Macaca fascicularis: one gene and its partner. The protein of the gene in region 1 interacts with the protein of each later gene in a biochemical or structural test. Links are inferred from orthologs where the notes say so. Each region holds a gene or a part of one and is shown in the gene's direction. Other genes may lie near its edges.

Region 1 (10,303 bases):
TAGGTTTGTTACGTAGTATCTCTTAGGCTTTTGGATGCGATCTGTTTGAAAAGAGATCCTACTGCTAAAATAAATGGAAAGAACTGCTGTAAAACATGTTAGTTTGTTATGAGTCTCTTAACTTCAGAGTTTTACTGATGGTTTATTAAGAACTTAGTATTTCTACTTTGTTTTTATAGTAGTAGTCTAAAATTCTACGGAATTTCTTCCTCCTTCCCATCTTACCAACAACATGTAGACATCGAACAAAGTTTTTTTTTCCCCTAGATGTGACTGCAAAATAATTGTACTTGCAAAAAATAAAAAGGGTTTCACTTATAAAACAAACTGTTTGCATTTTAACAAAACCGTTAAAAGAACTTTCCGGAATGTTTTATAGTATTGCGTCACCTTTAATTCCATCTAAGCATATTCATTCTCATGAGTATATCTATAAATTGTAAGTATACTATTGTCTTTTATTCCTTGTATTATGAAACCAAGGGTCAAAGAGGCTATAAAACTAGAACCCATCTCTCCTGACTTACTGATCAGTAAACTCTGTAGACAAAACTATGCTTCCTCAGTGTGAATAAGAAGAATTTTAATACTTATGTTTAGTAGGAGTCATAAGTTCCTAATATATATTGCAATGTACTTAATTTACAAGTTCCTAATATATATTACAATTTACTTAAAAATGAAAATGCTAGTGTCTCTTGGAGATGAGGATAGAAGTACGAAGATGGCACTATAACCTGGTGTTATGAACTCTGGAGTCAGACAGACTTTGGTTCGTATCTCATTTCTGCCACTTAACTGTGTGACCTTAGGCAAGTTACATAACCTTTTCAAGCCTGAGACTCCTTTTGGACAGAAGGGATGTGCTGATAGTATCAGCCTCACAGTTAGCATTATGTGAGCATTACATGCATGTAAAGCAGTTAGTCACAGTGCTTATATAAATGATAGAGTGATTCTTGAATAGCTTCCAGCCTTGTTGGAATCACGTGGCAGGGTAAACTTTTTCTCTAAAGGAGTAGACAATAAATATTTTAGGATTTGCCAGCCACTTCCTTATAGTCATTTCCATATTAACATGTTCCATGTTAAGGGCTTGACAGTTACACCATTTAGACTTGTTGATTTTTTTCTTAATGGTATTTTGTTAGTTTTGTGGTGAATCATCTAAACCAGTTTCGGAACTAAGACAGTCCTGTAGGAGCTATATAATTTTAAACGAATTCAAGTGTCTATTATACTAGGCATACCTAGGACTAACATGATTGCTCTTGTCCTTCCTAATGGACTCTTGGTAACCCCGAAGACGGAGTGAATCCATATCCCTTTATTATACACGTAAGCTTTAGTTTTATAAGTATGGTCAAAATTCTCAGATTCCATGTTACATTAAAATCCTTGCTAGAAATGAACTTTATAGGGTAAATTGTTGGTTAGAAAACATGTACTTTTCTCTTTCAGTGGAGGCTAAGACGTCTGAAGCCGAGAAGTCTGAAGTTAGGCCCTTTAATAATTCTACCCGTGCTGAGCCCTTGAATGATTCTACTCACGTTTCTTTGCAAGAAGAAAACCAGTCTTCTGTCAGTCATTGCGTCCCTGATGTTTCTACAATTACTGAAGAAGGCTTATTTAGCCAAAAGAGTTTCCTTGTTTTGGGTTTTAGTAATGAAAATGAATCTAACATTGCAAGCATCATCAAAGAAAATGCTGGGAAAATCATGTCCCTTCTGAGCAGAACTGTTGCCGATTATGCTGTGGTTCCTCTGCTGGGGTGTGAAGTAGAAGCCACTGTGGGAGAAGTTGTTACAAACACGTGGCTGGTAAGACAACACTGTAGTGGTTGCAATAAAGTATTGAAGATTATCTGAGTGCCAAGAAGGTTAATGTTTGTTTCTTAGGCAGTTCAGTTACAGTAAATCGGTGTTTGGATTTGAACACTCTTGATTTTACTTTTAGCAAGGGAAATTCTAAAGTTAAATGTGCAAGTTTCTTGGGCCTAATCCTAATACGGTAGAGGTTACTCTTTCCCAGAGGCCACAGCAGCAACATTCCTTCTTAGGAGGTCACTATAGGGTCATCTCATACTGTTTGTCCTGTTTTCTTACAACCGAAGCATCACGGGTAATTTCACTGTTGATTTTTTTTTTTTAACGTTCCAAGAATTATGAGAAAAATAGTGTAATACATTGGAAGGAATGAAATGTAAAGCAACATTCAATAACTCCAATGATAGATCTTACTGATTGTAATAGCCTAATGTAATCAGTCGATGTATGCATATGTGTGTATGTATATGTATATTTTAACGTTATGATATGAAATGTATTGAGAATGAGCATACACAGGTTTGTATTAAAGTAAAACTTCTTATCAAAACTGAATTATTGCTCATGTGCCTGAATGAGTGTTAACCACTGGCTGCTTATTTCAGGTTGGCTTTACTGTTTCTCTTGTTTTTAAAAGGTTACTTGCATAGACTTTCAGACTTTGTTTGATCCAAAGTCGAATCCTCTCTTCACACCAGTCCCAGTAATGACAGGAATGACTCCTTTAGAGGATTGTGTTATTTCATTTAGCCAGTGTGCTGGAGCAGAAAAAGAGTCTTTAACATTCCTAGCAAACCTCCTTGGAGCAAGGTATGTGATCTTTTTAATGCACCTGTTGTGTTGGTGTATCTTTTTATTTATTTTGACTTCTTGGAGAGCATTCAAATTAGAATTTGGTTGGGTGTCTTTATTATATTTATGAATGTTATATAGTTCCTTCTCCCCTCCCACTGCTTCACTTGACTAGCCTTAAAAAAAAAAGTACCTCCATTGTCCAAAGATGAAGACTTAGGTATCATAAGAGATAATAACTGCAGTGGATCCAAATACATGAAATAGTGTTTAAGTCGTGACTTCATAATGACACCAAATAAACTAAGGTAATTGATGATCTTTGAAAGATGCTAGGGGACCAGTCTATTACTTTGAAAGCTGACAAAAGGAAAGGATCAAGTAATTTAACCTGCATTTCCTGTGCAGTTTGCATCAGGGTAACATGATAGTGGATATGGCAAAGTTTCCATTTTTAAAGATGTTTCAACAAACAAACAAACAAAGAATGATAAGATTGTAACCCCTAATGAATGAAAGAATCTAGGCATTGAACATCAATAGTTAATCACACAATAAAGGGACAAGATATGATGTGCCTTCTTATGAAGAATACACCACCACTTTGAAGTAGTCTTGCCAAAATAATCAAACCTCAATCTGATGATGCTTCTAGATCCAATTCCCAATTTATAGGAAATGCAAACAGCAGAATAACACGTTAAACTACACCACAATGATATAATCAGCAAGACCCAGACTTTGGTACAACTCTATGGCATAAATGATCCAGTGTCTTCAACGAATGTATATTAAGGGCATGGAAAAGAAGGTAGGAACCTATAAGCTAAAAGACATGAAAAAGCAAAAGCCTAAATATAGTCTTTAAAGATGCCATTATTTGATTATAGAAAAGTAAAGAAGTGATTACTGTAAGTGTCCAAATAGACTGAGCACAGTGGCTCATACCTGTAATCCCAGCACTTTGGGAGGCCAAAAGATTGCTTGAGCTCAGGAGTTTAAGACCAGCCTGGACAACATAGTGAGACCTCATCTCTATTTAAAAAATAATTTTAAAAAAATGAGCCAGGCATGGTGGCATGTGCTTATGGTCCCAACTACTCGGGAGGCTAAGGCAGGAGGATTGCTTGAGCCCAGGAGACCAGGGCTGCAGTGAGCTATGATCACACAACTATACTTCAGCCAGGGCAACAAAATGAAACCCCGTCTCCAAAAAAAAAAAGCCCAAATAGTGGCTACTATTAAGAAGGGAGGCAACGGAGGTTGTATGGCATGTTGGAGAGGTTCTGGGGTGGTTAGCGAGATTCTGTCTTCTGACATGGGTGGTGGACTTAAGGGTTTCACCTTATAATAATTCATTGAGCTGTATATTTCCTTTTTTGCTGTTTTCTGTTTGAATTATATGAAACAAAAAAATTCTTTTAAAACCGAAATTGTGGAAGATAATAACATACATGACAACAGACTCCACTGGATGCAACTAAAGCTGCATTCAGCAGGAAAGTCATGCAAATTCTGAAATAGAATAATTGGGACTAGCCCTAACAGTTATTAAAATACATTTTGTGGCCAGGTGTGGTGGCTCATGCCTGTAATCCTAGCACTTTGAGAGGCTGTGGCAGGAGGCCAAGTTCAAGACCAGCCTGGGCAATATACTAAGACTCTGTCTTTAAAAAAAATTTTTAAAATGAGCCAGGCAGTGTAGCATAAATCTGTAGTCTCAGTTATTTGGGAGGCTGAGGTGGGAGTATTGTTTGAGCTTGGGAGGTCAAGACTGCAGTGAGTCACAATGGCGCCACTGTACTCTAGCCTGGAGGACAGAGCAAGACCCTGTCTCAGAAAACAAACAAACATATATTTTGTGAAACTTCACTAAATAACAGTGTAGTTGCGTGTAGCAGAAAGTTTAATTCAGGGACAGCAAGAGTGGCAGGAGACTCAAATACACAAAGGAATTTACGATAAAAGTGACATTTCAAATTATTAAGGAAGACATGGCTTATTCAATAAATAGGATTCATTAAAGCTGGAGCAATATCTCATATCTAAATAAGTACTGAATGGATTAGTGGGTTAAATATAAAAAATGAAGTTATAAAAGTACTAGGATAAACACATAACATAGAAAAAAAGTGTCAGGAAACATGGGAAATTAAAAAATCTGAAAAGTTGGGAACTGGAACGTAAAACCCAGAAGTCATAAAAGAAATCATGGAATTCGGTTCACTCCCAAGTCATAGACTTCTTTTTCTGCCCTGTATTCTCTGTGTGTAATATCCTGTGATCTTGAGGCATTTAATTTCTCTCTATTTTTTCCCATATCGATACTTAAATATTGAGAGGATCAAATGAGATAATATGTAGAAATGCTTTGGAAAGTTGTAGTAGGTTAAAAAATAATAATAATGTGTTATTTATACACTTTGCTCCTGTCACTTCTTCCTTGCCTTCTTTTGGGGGGAAAGGACAAAGTGTGGGGGTGATAACTAATTTAGGAGGTAATTTTGGCTGTGTGAGGTGGTTCACGCCTGTAATCCCAACTTTAGGAGGCTGAAGCAGGAGGATCACTTGAGCTCAGGAGTTTGAGACCAGGCTAGGCAACATGGTGAAACCCCATCTCTACAAAAAATACAAAAATTAGCCAGATGTGGTGGTTAGGAACTACACCTGTAGTCCTAGCTACTGGGGAGGCTGAGGTGGGAGGATAGCTTGAGCCTGGGAAGTGGAGGTTGCAGTGAGCTGTGATTGTGCCACTGCACTCCAGTCTGGACAACATACCAAGACAAGACCCTGTCTCAAAAGGAAGTAATTTTGCTGTCGGTTCTTTGTATGTCTAATTATGCATAATTGTCTAATTGTCTGAAAACATAATACGTCTAATTATGTTTTTATAAAAAATTTGTTACAGCAATACATTTTTACCCTAGAGTAAGCATTTGTAAGGGGATTAGCTTAATTTCAGATAGAATAAACCAACTTTTAATCAGTATTTTTTTTATACTTACATGATCTCTAATCACACTGTTGTGTTGGAAATGTTGTTCTTAAGTGTTGCGGGTGAATTGTATATGTGACCATTTCCACTTCTTTAAATATAAATTTCAGTGTTCAAGAATACTTTGTTCGCAAATCCAATGCAAAGAAAGGCATGTTTGCCAGTACTCATCTTATATTGAAGGAACCTGGTGGCTCTAAATATGAAGCTGCAAAGAAGTGGAATTTACCTGCAGTTACTATAGCTTGGCTGTTGGAGACTGCTAGAACGGGAAAGAGAGCAGACGAAAGCCATTTTCTGATTGAAAATTCGTCTGAAGAAGGTTAATACTTTTATTCTGTTATTTTATATATATTTACAACTGGATGGTTTCTGGGATATAAACGTGCCAATGCTTGTGTTTAGAAAAGGTCATTGATTTTCGCTTTTCACATTGGGTGCAGTGAGGGTCTCAGTGTTTGAAGTCTAAAGATGTAAGCCTGGCTCCTATTTATTGTTGATTCCTTCGATGGCTCACAGTAACATACCATGTAATTAATGTGCTCTCTCTCCTCTTATCTTTGGGCTTCTGCATGTTTCCTGTAGACCACCTCACAGTTGCCAGCTCTTCCTTCTTATCTTTCAGTTCTCAGCTAAGATACCACTTTCACTGGGAAGCCTTTCTTTTTTTTTTCTTTTTTTTTTTTAATTATTATTATACTTTAAGTTCTAGGGTGCTTTTGCACAACATGCGGGTTTGTTACATATATACATGTGCCATGGTGGTTTGCTGCACCCATTAATTCGTCATTTACATTAGGTATTTCTCCTAATGCTATCTCTCCCCCACCCCCGTACCCCACAACAGGCCCCGGTGTGTGACGTTCCCCGCCCTGTGTCCAAGTGTTCTCATTGTTCAATTCCCACCTATGAGTGTGAACACGCGGTGTTTGATTTTCTGTCTTGTGATAGTTTGCTCAGAATGATGGTTTCCAGCTTCATCCATGTCCCTACAAAGGACATGAATTCGTCCTTTTATATGGCTGCATAGTATTCCATGGTGTATATGTGCCACATTTTCTTAATCCAAATCCAATCTATCATTGATGGACATTTGGGTTGGTTCCAAGTCTTTGCTATTGTGAATAGTGCCACAATAAACATACGTGTACATGTGTCTTTATAGTAGCATGATTTATAATCCTTTGGTTATATACCCAGTAATGGGATCACTGAGTCAAATGGTATTTCTAGTTCTAGATCCTTGAGGAATCGCCACACTGTCTTGGGAAGCCTTTCTTGACTCACTAAGTATGGCCTTTTGTCTTGGTGTAATGTTTTGTTTCACCATGACACTCTGTATCATCCCTTTTATCTCTTACCTCGGTGTTATAATGGTGGTTTATTTTGTGTCTCCCTGCTAAATTATAAGTTCCAGAAAGGCAGTGAACATGCATGTCTTGTGAATTCTGTATTTCCCGTGTCTAACACTAGGCCTGGCATGGAGTAGCTATCTAATAAGTTTTTTTGTTAAATGTTGAAAACAGGTGGAAGGCAGAGGTGGAAGAATACAGTACCCTCTCTTGTAAGATAATAGCATTCCTGGGCAAACTTCAGGGGCATATCAGCAGCTTGGGAACACCTCTCAGAGTCATTACTTATTTTGCCAGACAGACTGGTAATTTTATGACTGAGGCTAAGTGATGTTTAGGTCGTATTAAAATTTGATTAAGGGCTTTCCAAAACTTTACTGTAGTTAACTCTGAGTAATTCAGATTTTCTTTGTAGCCTGTCATTGACTAGAAAGACATTCACTGATACAATTTTTGGCAAATAGGCTTATTGAGACATAGCAAGATGAAACAGGAAATCTATTTTTAGTTTTTCAGTTAATGTGCTTGTCTAACTCAACATATATTTAATGCATAATCTGGTTTGTTTCTTGGAAAGTGGGTATATAATTTTGTCATTTAAAGTGTACTAAGAATTGACATGAAAACTAACAGTTAGATTGGGATGACAAGGTAGATGGATCACTTGAGCCCAAGAGTTATGCAAGAAAGAAAGGAAATAAAACAGATGTAAAACATTACTTCTTGTGTACTGGAAAAAAGTGGGCATTAGTGGCTCATATTTGTTTCTTTTCATTTTAAATCTCTAGAACGAAGTTTGGAAACAGAAATAACAAATGGAATCAATCTAAATTCAGATACTGCAGAGCATCCTGGCACACGCCTGCAAACTCACAGAAAAACCGTCATTACACCTTTAGATATGAATCGCTTTCAGAGTAAAGCTTTCCGTGCTGTGGTCTCACAACATGCCAGACAGGTTTCAGCCTCCCCAGCAGTAGGACAACCACTTCAGAAGGAGCCCTCACTACACCTGGATACACCATCAAAATTCCTGTCCAAGGACAAACTCTTCAAGCCTTCCTTTGATGTGAAGGTAAGCTTTATAGGCAATGGTCCCAGAGTTAACAGTTTTACCGTTTATAAAGTTAAAGCACCAAATTCAGCATCACCTCTAAAGTGTAGTAGTAAATTTTCCAGAGACATTGGCAAGTAGATTTTTGTTATTGCGTTTGAATGTTTTGAGTCCCAAAATACATTTAGGGTTAAGGTAAGAGCTATAGATAAATATGGTATGAAATTAGGACATCTGGGTTCAAGTACTAGATCAATCTTGAACTGTATGACTAGGCCGATCATTTAACATACCTGAGCTTCAGTTTGTTTCTTCATACAAAGAAGATAATATTTGCTCTGAAAATTCATAGATTATAAACATCAAATGATGAAATCACTTTATAAACTATAAAATGTAAACACACTGCTACTTTATATGTTGGTTCTCAGAGTACAGCCACGATTTGCCTTCTGAAAATGTGTGTGTATCACCTTACTTGAATTGTTTCCTGTAAAGACATGAGTTAAGTCTGTGTTTTAGTTTGATCTCCTGAGCAGTATAGTATGGCTCCCTTTCTGAAAAATTTGTTTGCAAATCAGGGGCTAATAAAATCTTCCATATGATTTTCTTTTATTTTCCAAAGCTGATTTTCATCACTATTTCTTTAGTAGCTTTTGACGTCTTAAGTGGCTGTTCAAACCGTTGTCTATGATTTCTTTATCTACAAACCTTTGCAGAATTATTTTACTCATTTGTCTGTTGATATTTTTGCTTGTAGGGTATTTAGAAGCAATATTTTAATAATTTTTATTAGTGTGTTTTGGAGCAGACTTACTAAAAAGTTTACAGATTATTCATATTCAGAAAATAAATATTAACTGATATCCAGGACAATTTTCCCCAAGCTAATTTATGTCTTTATTTTTGGTGAGAATTCCAGTGACCCACATGAAAAAAAAAGTCTTTACTATTAAACTCAAAATTCTAAGTTTTCACATGAAATCTCTTCTGAGGTAACATTTTGTACTGTGATTAATACTCAGGTCCATATCCTTTAAGAAATAAAGGAAAATCAGTCTTGGGAACTGTGAGGTGTAGGATCAAGTCTCTTCTTTGTCCCCTACTGCCTTTTAAAAGCAAGTCAACCTCTTTCGGCTTCATTATTCTCATCTGTAAAATCCAGATGATCTCTGAAGTCTCATAACTCACAGACTCTCCGAAGAGCAAATGTAATAATATTAGTAGGCAAGAAAACAGTAGAAATATTTTCAGTCATCGAGACCATTCTTATGTAGATACTTTGCAATAAAAGTTTTGCAGTGGAAAGCTGATAGTTCTGAATAGCGTGAGTACAAAAAACACATTTAAAGATTTTATTGTTTAGAGTCATAATATTGAGCAGTGTTTTTTCTCCTTTTTCTTTCTTTTTTGATGGCACATAAATAATGCTTCATCTTATAATCAGTGGTTCTTCAAACTGATATAATATGGTATATTGAATTATTTACTCAAAACATGAAAGGGCCTATGGAATAATCACAAAATTGACCATCTCTTAGGCCTCACCTTCCCTCCCCACCAAAAAATTCACCTCTTATTTAAAGTTAATTTTTAATTAATATACATCAGAGCAGTCCAGTAAGTATACTGCTAATGAATTATCAGGGTTAATCATTGGGAAGCCACTATACACGTTCAGATAGAGACCATGGTCAGCACTGTAAACACTTCCTTGTGGCTCCATCACTGCTTCCTCCCTAAAGTATACTCCTGACTTCTAACCCTATTGTTTTGTTATGCTTGCTTTTGACTTTTAAATATATGGTATCAGAGTATGTATTTTTTTGAGTCTGCTTTTTTAAAATTGTTCTTTAACCCTTATTTAGATGTGTCTGTTTTGCTACATGCAAATATAGTTCATTTATTTATTCCTTTGTATGGATATACCGAATTTACATTTCCAGTGTACTGTTGATGGGCATTTAGTTGGTTACTGGTTTTTTGCCCTTACAAAATAATTTCACTGTGAGCATTCTTGTGCGTGTCTCTTGGAGTCTATGTGTGTGTATTACTATGTGGTATATACCTAGAAGTGAAATTGTTGGGTTCTATTTCAGCTTCAGTAGAGAACGACAAATTTTTTGCCAAAGTGATTATACGAATTTATGCTTCCACCAGTAGTGTGTTGAGTGTACCCAATGTTCCTCATCTTTGCTGATACTTGCTATTATAAGCTGTTTTATTTCATTTTGTACTTCAAAATAATTTCTAACTTACAAAAAGTTGCAAAATAAAAATGGTA
Region 2 (10,303 bases), about 75 Mb from region 1:
TTAAGAATGGAGAAATTAAAATTTTGCGAGACTCACTACATCAGACGGAATCCGTTCTAGAGGAACAGAGAAGATCACATTTTCTTCTTGAGCAAGAGAAAACCCAAGCACTCAGTGACAAAGAAAAGGAATTCTCCAAAAAGGTGACCCAGAGCATTTGTTTTGCACCAGCTTTTCCTGCCCACTGAGTTCCTTTGACCAGGGTTGCCTGTAAATCTTCCAGGGAGATTTCAACATTTGTTTATCTTAAATACTTTCTGCTCTCATCTAATTGCCAAGCACTCTTCTTCCAGTGTCTGGATATGTTTTGGGAAGGGATTTAGGTGAAACTCTATTTGGCGGGAATGAATAACTAGCTTAGCATTTCTAGAAACAGGCTTACATTAGGGCTCTTTTGCTAGATCAGAAACTCAACTGACCTAGCTTAGGCTAAAAGGAAATGTATTGGCTTCCATATCCAAGTCTTGGAAGAACAGGGGTGTGCTGGGGCCTTAAATGACTTAAATCTTGCCAGGACATTTTTATTCTCTATGCTATAAAAAGGCTCTATCATTATGGTAGAGGGTGTGTTCTCCAAAAGCTCCTGGGCTCATATTTTGTAAATACAGAGCAGAATTAAGACTTAAGGCCACGTGCAGTGGCCCACACCTGTAATCCCGCACTTTGGAGGCTGAGGTGAGAGGATCACTTGAGCCAGAAGTTCGAGACCAGCCTGGGCAACTGGTGAGACCTCATCTCTACAAAAAAAAAAAAAAAAGAAAAAATTAACAAAATCATCCAGGCATGGTGGTGTGCACCTGTAGTCCCAGCTACTCAGGAGGCTGAGGTGGGAGAATTGCTTGAGCCCAGGAGGTTGAGGCTGCAGTAAGCCACGATCATGCCATTATCCTCTAGCCTGGGCAACAGAGCGAGACCCTGTCTCAAAAAAAGACTTAGGCTTCCTCATTGCAAGTTTTAAAATTCTGAGAAAGGCTCTGATTGGTCTAACTTAAGTGTCTGTCCCTGGCCAATTGCTGTAACCAAAAGCAAAAAAATGATAGCTCTCATTCTAATAAAATAGTCAGAGGTAGGGAAATTACTGACTTTTTTTTCTTTTTTCTTTTTCTTTTTTTTGAGACAAGGTCCAGGGTTTCACTCTGTTGCCCAGGCTAGAGTGCAGTGGTGCAATCACAGCTTGCTGCAGCCTTGACCTCTCAGACTCAAGCAGTCCTCCCCCATCAGCCTCCCAGGTAGCTGGAACTACAGGCACACACCACCAGGCACAGCTAATTTTTAAATTTTGGTACAGACGGGGTCTTGCTATGTTCCCCAAGCTGTTCTCAAAATCCTGGGCTCACACAGTCCTCCCACCTTGGCCTCCCAAAGTGCTGAGATTACAGGCAAGAGCGACCATGCCCAGCCTGTTTCTCAGGGAGAGGAAAATGCTATTCTGGAAAGAAAAACAGTAGGTATCCAGTACTTACCACAACTTTCCCTCAGCACTTCCCCATGCTTCAATCAGGACATGGGATCTTATTCTCTCATTGTTTCATTCAGCAAACTTAGCAAACTTTAAGCACTTACCTGTGCCCAACACTAACCGCAATAGTTAACTTTCTGTATAAGTGATGAAGAGCAAGGAATTTGCAGTCAGACAAACCTGAATTTGAATCCAGGCTTCATCACACTTTAGCGGTGATCTCAAGGTAATAACTTAAGCTCCATGGCTCATTTCCCTTATCTGTTCCAAAACATAACCAGAAAGGTTGTTGGGAGACTCACACGTTCTTGCACTTACTGTGTCTGGTGCTGGGCCTGGCACAGAGTGTGCTTGGGGAATGATGGCAGTTACTGTTGGGTGTGGCACCTACAGGCCAGAGCAGCAGGTGTCTCTATACTGCACAGTGTCTTGGTAAACTATTCCAAATACTCTTCCCAAACTTTGAAGAAGACCTGGAATTGTGCACCATTGCATTGGTTAATAAAGGTCAGTATGTTACTGCTGACATAGAGCCCCTTACCAAGCTCTGTGCTGAGTGTTTTACACTCATCATTCTGCTTAATCCTCCCAACGATGATGAAGACAGGCATTTTATGTTTCAAATAAGCTAGAGTTCAAAGACATTTAGTAAATGGTGGGCTGGTATTTAATTCTTTTTTTAATTTTTTTAATTTTTTTTTTTTTTTTTTTTGAGACGGAGTCTCGCTCTATCGCCCAAACTAGAGTGCAGTGACTGGATCTCAGCTCACTGCAAGCTCCGCCTCCTGGGTTCACGCCATTCTCCTGCCTCAGCCTCCCAAGTAGCTGGGACTACAGGCGCCCGCCACCTCGCCCGGCTAGTTTTTTGTATTTTTTAGTGGAGACGGTGTTTCACCGGGTTAGCCAGGATGGTCTCGATCTCCTGACCTTGTGATCCGCCCATCTCGGCCTCCCAAAGTGCTGGGATTACAGGCTTGAGCCACTGCGCCCGGTCTATTTTTTAAATTTTTTGTAGAGGCAATGTCTTGCTATTTTGCCCAGGCTGGTCTCGAACTCCTAGACTCAAATGATCCTCCTGCCTCAACCTCCCAAAGTGCTTAGGATTACAGGCCTGAGCCACCACACCCAGCCAGGGCTGGTATTTGAACCCTCACAAACTACCCTTATAATAGTTAGAGTCCATTATCTTTTTAGCGCACCATATTGTCTTTCAGAAAGAAAGCTAATGTTTGATATTTTAGGACGTTTATGTCACAGCAGACTTTCATATGTATTTTTTCATTGTTTGTCTTTTACTGGCTTGTGATTTTGAAGCCCAGAGATATTTTTGTGTATATGATGGGGCCACTACAAGCATGTTTCTTTTGCCTTCCAGCTCCAATCATTGCAGTCTGAACTCCAGTTTAAAGATGCAGAGATGAATGAATTAAGGACAAAGCTCCAGACCAGTGAACGCGCAAATAAACTGGCTGCTCCCTCTGTTTCCCATGTCAGGTAATGATGGTGCTGGAGGAGGGATAGTTCAGTTTTGCATTATTTAGTAAACAATCTGCATAACAATGTCAGGCCAGTCCTAAATGAAGGTCATTTAGACCCTGCCACCTGGACAGAGATCCTCTTTTCCTGAAGGATTCAGAGGTGGTGTAGATGAAGCTTGCGTGGTTTGAGACATCACAGCATAAAGGCCCATACTCTAGAAATGCTGCCACTATATGGCACTTTACAAACATAATTCCTCTGGACCAGAAAGACCTGGAAAAACGGACCGGGTGTGGTGGCTCACACCTGTAATCCCAGCACTTTGGGAGGCCAAGGTGGGCGGATCACAAGGTCAGGAGATTGAGACCACGGTGAAACCCTGTCTCTACTAAAAATACAAAATGATTAGCCGGGCATGGTGGCGGGTGCCTGTAGTCCCAGCTACTCAGGAGACTGATGCAGGAGAATGGCATGAACCTGGGAGGCAGAGCTTGCAGTGAGCTGAGATCACGCCACTGCACTCCAGCCTGGGTGACAGAGCGAGACTCTGTCTCAGAAAAAAAAAAAAAAAAGAAAGAAAGACCTGGAGAAATGATCTCCAAATTTTGGGGGTGGGCCAGTCTTTACTTTTATGTAATTTGTTTAACTGATTTTGTTGCAAGCATGAGTGTATTTTAGTTCCAGCTACTTGGAATATTTTTTCTTATTTGCTGTCTGGGGACCCTTGTCCAACAGCCCCATTCTTTGTGGTCAGATGTGCTCAACTTTTTTGTTTTTCTTTTTTTTTGAGACAGAGTCTCACTTTGTCACCCAGGCTGGAGTACAGTGGTACAATCTCAAGCTCACTGCAACCTCCACCTCTTGGGTTCAAAAAATTCTCCCTCAGCCTGAGTAGCTGGGACTACAGGCACACACCACCACGCCCAGCTAATTTTTGTATTTTTAGTAGAGATGAGGTTTCACTATGTTGGCCAGGCTCATCTCAAACTCCTGACCTCGTGATCCACCCTCCTCGGCCTCCCAAGGTGCTGGGATTACAGGCGTGAGCCACTGAGCCCGGCCTTGTTTTGTTTTTATACAGAGGCGGGGTCTCACTATGTTGCTCAAGCTAATCTTGAACTCCTGGGCTCAAGCAATCCTCCCACTTCGGCCTCCTAAAGTGCTGAGTTACAGACATGAGCCGCCGTGCCTGGCCTCAACTTGTTAATGATCTGTCCTGCCCTCTGCCTTACAGAGATGTCTGGCACTGTCAGTATCAGCCTTGAAATTTGCTGTGGTTTTTTGTTGTTGTGGTTGTTGTTTTGAGATGGAGTCTCACTCTGTTAGGCGGGGGTGCAATGGTGTGATCTCGGCTCACTGCAGTCTCCACCTTCCAAATTCAAGTGATTCTCCTGCCTCAGCCTCCCGAGTAGCTGGGATTACAGGCATGCACCACCACACCTGGCTACTTTTTGTATTTTTAGAGATGGGGTTTCATCATGGCCAGGCTGGTCTCGAACTCCTGGACTCAAATGATCTGCCAGCCTGGGCCTCTCAAACTACTGGGATTACAAGCATGAGCCACTGTGCCTGGCCCAGCCTTGAGATTTGAAAAGTGTCAGGGCATCTTCTGGTTTTGAACATTCTGCTGCCTTTGCTCATAATGGGCAGTGTGTGAAACTGAACTCTCCATGCCTTGCATTGTCCACATAAGAGAGCTGAGGGGATCCTCTTCACACATCAGTAACAGAAAGACCTCAGCATTATATGATCAGATCAGAGGGTTAACACTGCTTCTCTAACATAAAGACATTAGCACTGAGAAGTTGCTCAGTTTTCAACATACTTAATAGGTTTATCAAAATTTTGATACTTATTTTGATAACTCTTTTTCTATTTAAAGTCTTTGCATTCTATTGGAAGTTTTTTTTTTGAAACAGAGTCTCGCTCTGTTGCCCAAGTTGGAGTGCAGTGGCATGATCTCAGCTCACTGCAACCTCCACTTCCCAGGTTCAAGTGATTCTCCTGTCTCAGCCTCCCAAGTAGCTGGGATTACAGGCACACACCACCACGCCAGGCTAGTTTTTTTGGGTTTTTTTTGTTTTTTTTTTTGTTTTTTTTTTTTTTTTGAGACAGAGTCTCGCTCTGTCGCCCAGGCTGGAGTGCAGTGGTGCAATCTCGGCTCACTGCAAGCTCCGCCTCCCGGGTTCACGCCATTCTCCTGCCTCAGCCTCCTGAGTAGCTGGGACTACAGGCGCCCGCCACCGCGCCTGGCTAATTTTTTGTATTTTTAGTAGAAACGGGGTTTCACCGTGGTCTCGATCTCCTGACCTTGTGATCCGCCCGCCTCGGCCTCCCAAAGTGCTGGGATTACAGGCGTGAGCCACCGCGCCCGGCATTTTTTGTATTTTTTTTTAAGTAGAGACGGGATATCACCATGTGACATCAGGTGATCCATCCGCCTCAGCCTCCCAAATTACTGGGATTACAGGTGTGAGCCACCACACCCAGCCTGGAAGTCTTGTGACTATTAAAAAATCGTTTGTTCCACATTGGCTGGGAACAGTGACTCACACCTGTAATCCCAACACTTTGGGAGGCTGAGGCGGGCAGATCACTTGAGGTCAGGAGTTCGAGACCAACCTGGCCAACATGGTGAAACCCTGTCTCTACTGAAAATATAAAAATTAGCTGGGCATGGTGGCATGCGCCTGTAATCCCAGCTACCTGGGAGGCTGAGGCAGGAGAATCACTTGAACCTGGAGGCAGAAGTTGCAGTGAGCCAAGATCACACCACTGTACTCCAGCCTGGGCAACAGAACGAGACTCTGTCCCAGAAAAAAAAAAAAAACAGTTTGTTCCACATTGAAAAGATGTTTTGCACCAGGCATGGTAGCTACACAGGCAATCCCAGCTACACAGGAGGCTAAGGCAGGAAGATTGCTTAAGGCTAGGAGTTCGAGACCAGCCTGGGCAACATAGCAAAACCCCACTGCTACTAAAAAAACAATAAAATAAAATTACCGGCCCTGGTGGCTCACGCCTGTAATCCCAGCATTTTAGGAAGCTGAGGTGGGCTGATCATTTGAGCCCATGAGTTCAAGACTAGCCTAGGCAACATGGTGAAACCCAATCTCTAGAAATAACTCTATCTCTAGAAAGAATAAAAAGTTAGCCAGATGTGGTGGTTGCATACCTGTAGTCCCTGTGCTACTCAGAAGGATGAGGTGGGAGGATCACTGAGCCCAAGAGGTCGAGGCCACAGTGAGCCATAATTGTGCCACTGGGCTCCAGCATGGGCAACAGAGTGAGACACTGTCTCACCAAAAAAAAAAAAAAAAAATTATCTGGTCATGTTGGTGTGTGCCTGTAATCCCAGCTACTCAGGAGGCTGGGATTACAGGTGGATGGATCGCTTGAGCCTAGGAGGTCAAGGCTGCAGTGAGCTATGATCATGCTACAGTACTCCAGCCTGGGCAACGGAGCAAGACTCTGTCGCAAAAAAAAAAAAAAGTTTTGGTGGAATTGGAAATAGTGATAATAAAGAATAGTAAAAGAATTTTGGCTAATATTATATTTTTGGATGATTAGAAAAATATAAAAATGAGTAAAAAACTTTTTCAACGATTTGGATCAAAATGCCTGGAATTGGCCAGTAACGGTGGATCATGCCCGTAATCCCAGCACTTTGGGAGAACAAAGTGGGTGGATCACTCAAGCTCAGGAGTTCCAGACCAGCGTGGGTAACTTAGCGAAACCCCATCTCTATAGAGAAATTAAAATTTAAAAATATTTTTAAAAAAGAAAACCAAATGCCTGGAATTTTGCACTGCTCCCCTGACAAAGAATGGTAGACATAATAGATAAAACCTTTGGTTAAAACACCTAGACATGAAAAGTTTAAAGTTTGTTAGAAATTTTGTAACCAGGTATTTTGAATTGTTTTAGTAGAATCATTACTTTGCTTTCATAGTTAACTTTTTCCAGTCCTAGGAAAAACCCTTCTGTGGTTATAAAGCCAGAAGCATGTTCTCCACAATTTGGAAAAACATCTTTTCCTACAAAGGAGTCTTTTAGTGCTAACATGTCCCTTCCCCACCCCTGCCAGACAGAGTCAGGATACAAGCCGCTGGTGGGCAGAGAGGGTAAGTCCATAAGTCATCTATTGCTTTTTAACAAACTACCCAAATTTGTGGCTTAAAACAATTGTTATTTATTTTCTCCCAATTTCTGTGATCAGCAATTCTGACAGGGCACAGTGGGGACAATCTCTGCAGGGACTGGAATCACTGAAAGCTTGTCTTAAGCTGGAGGATCTATTTCAAGATGGCTCACTCACATGACTGGCAGTGTAATTCCTTGCCGCATGGGCCTCTGCACATGGATACGGGGTATCCTTATAACCTGGTGGGTGGCTTCCTCTAAAGCCAGCAAATCCAGAGAGAGAGAGAGCCAGGCAGAAGCTGTCCTTTTGTGGCCTAGCCTCAGAAGTCACACAGCGTCACCTGTGCCACATTCTGTTTGTTAGAAGCAAATCACTGAGTCTGGGCTTCACTCAAGGAGGGGAAATCAAGCTATACCCTTTGAAGGGAGGTGTGTCAAAGCATTTGTGGGCTTTTTTTGTTTGTTTGTTTTTTTGGAGACGGAGTCTCACTCTGTCACCCACCCAGGCTGGAGTGCAATGGCACGATCTCGACTCACTGCAACTTCTGCCTCCCGGGTTCAAGTGATTCTCCAGCCTCAGCCTCCCGAGTAGCTGGGATTACAGGCACCTGCCATCATGGTTGTGGGTATATTTTTAAACCATCAGTAGTATGCAGGAACCTGTTTTTCTTTTCTTTTTTTTTTTTTTCTTTGAGGTGGAGTCTCACTCTGTCACCAGGCTGGAGTGCAGTGACGTGATCTCGGCTCACTGCAACCTCTGCCTCCCAGGTTCAAGTGATTCTTCTGCCTCAGCCTCCCGAGTAGCTGGGACTAGGTGCACACCACCATGCCCAGCTAATTTCTGTATTTTTAGTAGAGATGGGTTTCACCATGTTGGCGTGGATGGTCTCAATTTCATGACCTCATGATCCACCTACCTCAGCCTCCCAAAGTGCTGGGATTACAGGCATGAGCCACCGTGCCCAGCCTCTGTTTTCCTTTTGTAGTCCAGCTTTTGAGTTTTTATAACTCAGTCCAGGTTGAGGGGATGCTGCTGTTTTTTTGAGAGAGACAATCTAACATCAGTAGGTTTTCAGACTGCTATGTCAATGTATCTTATAAATCAGATACATTGACCCTCTTTTTACCATCAACCTTTCAAATCCTTGGCCATTACACACTTCTGAGAAACTGCAGCCCACTTACATTTTTGGAATCTAGCAGCTAAAGTGGCAGTGTACAGTAGTGTTACAAGCAGGCAGTAGAGCCCAATAGCCTGGATGTGAGTCCCAGTAATGCTACTTACTGGCTTATGTAATTTGGGCAAGTCCTTTAGTCTCTGTGCCTCAGTTTCCCTATATGTAAAACAGAGCTAATGATAACTACTTGTAGGGTCACTGAGGAACAAATGGGCTGATGTGTGTAAAGCTCTTAGAACAGTGTCTAGCACATAACAAGCACCATGTCAATGTTAGTGGTTACTGTTTTATCTAATTGCCTCATTTTGAGTGAGGCAAACAGCTTGATTTTCTTTTCCTTTCCTTGTATGAGTTCCTGTTTTACATAAGAAAGGTAAAAAATGCAGGGCTTTTGAGCTGCTTTGGCTCTTGTTTGATCCAAGGTGGAAGAAGTAGAACAGCCTGTGTTTTAAACTCATTGCATGTAAAAGTTTCTAATATGCCCATGCTTTTGTGCTCAAGTTTTGATTTACATTTTATCACATTTCAGATAGTAAGACCCACAGTCTGAGAGGTGACTCCATAAAACAAGAAGAGGCCCAGAAAAGCTTTGTTGACAGCTGGAGACAGAGATCAAACACTCAAGGTACCAGAATCCCTGCTTCTGCAGGGGCCTGCATGGCTCTGAGTGATATGCAGAAGAATTGCCCAGGCCTCTGAGAACCGGCGCCCTGGGCAGTCCTTCAGGGAGTCCAGGGAAGTCAAAGTATGTGGCTTAAGCAGAAGACTTTATAAAGTGGAAAGGGCCAAAGGCAGGTATGTCCCAGAGCCTTCCGCACCCACAGGCATCTACCTGGGGCTTAGTGGCAACTTAGAGGACAGTTGGCATCCAAAGAGTCCTTACTGTTTCCTTCTGAGGCCACAGAAAAGATCTCCCATGTCAGAACCTTCTAGAGTCACCTTGTCTTCACAGGTTCCATTTTGATAAACCTGCTCCTGAAGCAGCCTTTGATCCCAGGGTCATCCCTAAGCCTGTGCCACCTCCTGAGTAGTAGTTCTGAGTCTCCTGCTGGCACCCCCCTGCAGCCACCAGGGTTTGGCAGGTAAGCATAAGACTCCTGGAAAGCTTGTTTGGGAAGGAGCTTCCTGGAAGCAAATTCCTTTCTGGTCCTAGCCAGCCTGGGAAGTCTGTGGGAAGGGCAGGGAGCCTGGAGAATTTGGCAGGCAAGCTGTTTGGGGCCCTTGACCTTATCTCCATCCCACACTTACCTATTTTTCTTTGTGTTTGTTGCCAGTACCTTGGCTGGAATGTCAGGCCTCAGGACCACAGGTTCTCAGGATGGGTCATTTTCCCTCTCAGCCCTGAGAGAAGCACAGAACCTGGCATTCACTGGACTGAATCTGGTTGCCAGGAATGAGTGCTCACGTGATGGAGACCCAGCAGAGGGAGGCAGAAGGGCCTTCCCACTCTGCCAGCTTCCTGGAGCCGTGCATTTCCTCCCCCTTGTACAGTTCTTCATCGGCTTACACTGCCAGGCCCTGCAGGACTTGGCAGCTGCTAAGAGAAGTGGAGCACCTGGGGACTCACCGACACATTCCTCCCGCGTGAGCTCTGGGGTAGAGACCAACCCTGAGGACTCAGTGTGCATCCTGGAAGGCTTCTCTGTGACTGCACTTAGCATTCTTCAGCACCTGGTGTGCCACAGCGGAGCAGTGGTCTCCCTATTACTGTCACGAGTTGGGGCAGATTCTGCTGCTGGGGAAGGAAATGGGAGCCTGGTTCACAGGTTTAGTGATGGAGATATGACCTCAGCCCCAAGGGGGGTTGCTGATGACCAAGGACAGCACCCACTGTTGAAGATGCTTCTTCACCTGTTGGCTTTCTCTTCTGCAGCAACAGGTCACCTTCAAGCCAGTGTCCTGACCCAGTGCCTTAAGGTTTTGGTGAAATTAGCCGAAAACACTTCCTCTGATTTCTTGCCCAGGTATAAAGCAGCATAGGAGTCATGATTCTTTGTGGGTCTCACCTGACCTGTTAAGGTCTAACCCGTGTCTCTTGTACTTT

What was found. The genes of interacting proteins can lie anywhere in the genome.
Region 2: the proteins of TOPBP1 (region 1) and ATRIP form a complex in vitro, tested with the Homo sapiens proteins (2 studies listed by BioGRID). The link is inferred for Macaca fascicularis from reciprocal best matches to the Homo sapiens genes TOPBP1 and ATRIP.

Annotation. Positions count from the first base shown.
Region 1 is NC_088376.1:36,561,853-36,572,155, reverse strand, and holds part of TOPBP1 (DNA topoisomerase 2-binding protein 1), read left to right. Parts: intron 1-1,461; coding exon 1,462-1,820; intron 1,821-2,463; coding exon 2,464-2,636; intron 2,637-5,723; coding exon 5,724-5,935; intron 5,936-7,753; coding exon 7,754-8,040; intron 8,041-10,303. UniProt on the Homo sapiens protein: Scaffold protein that acts as a key protein-protein adapter in DNA replication and DNA repair. Composed of multiple BRCT domains, which specifically recognize and bind phosphorylated proteins, bringing proteins together into functional combinations.
Region 2 is NC_088376.1:111,417,848-111,428,150, forward strand, and holds part of ATRIP (ATR-interacting protein), read left to right. Parts: coding exon 1-143; intron 144-2,834; coding exon 2,835-2,953; intron 2,954-6,904; coding exon 6,905-7,062; intron 7,063-8,788; coding exon 8,789-8,884; intron 8,885-9,211; coding exon 9,212-9,341; intron 9,342-9,533; coding exon 9,534-10,223; intron 10,224-10,303. UniProt on the Homo sapiens protein: Required for checkpoint signaling after DNA damage. Required for ATR expression, possibly by stabilizing the protein.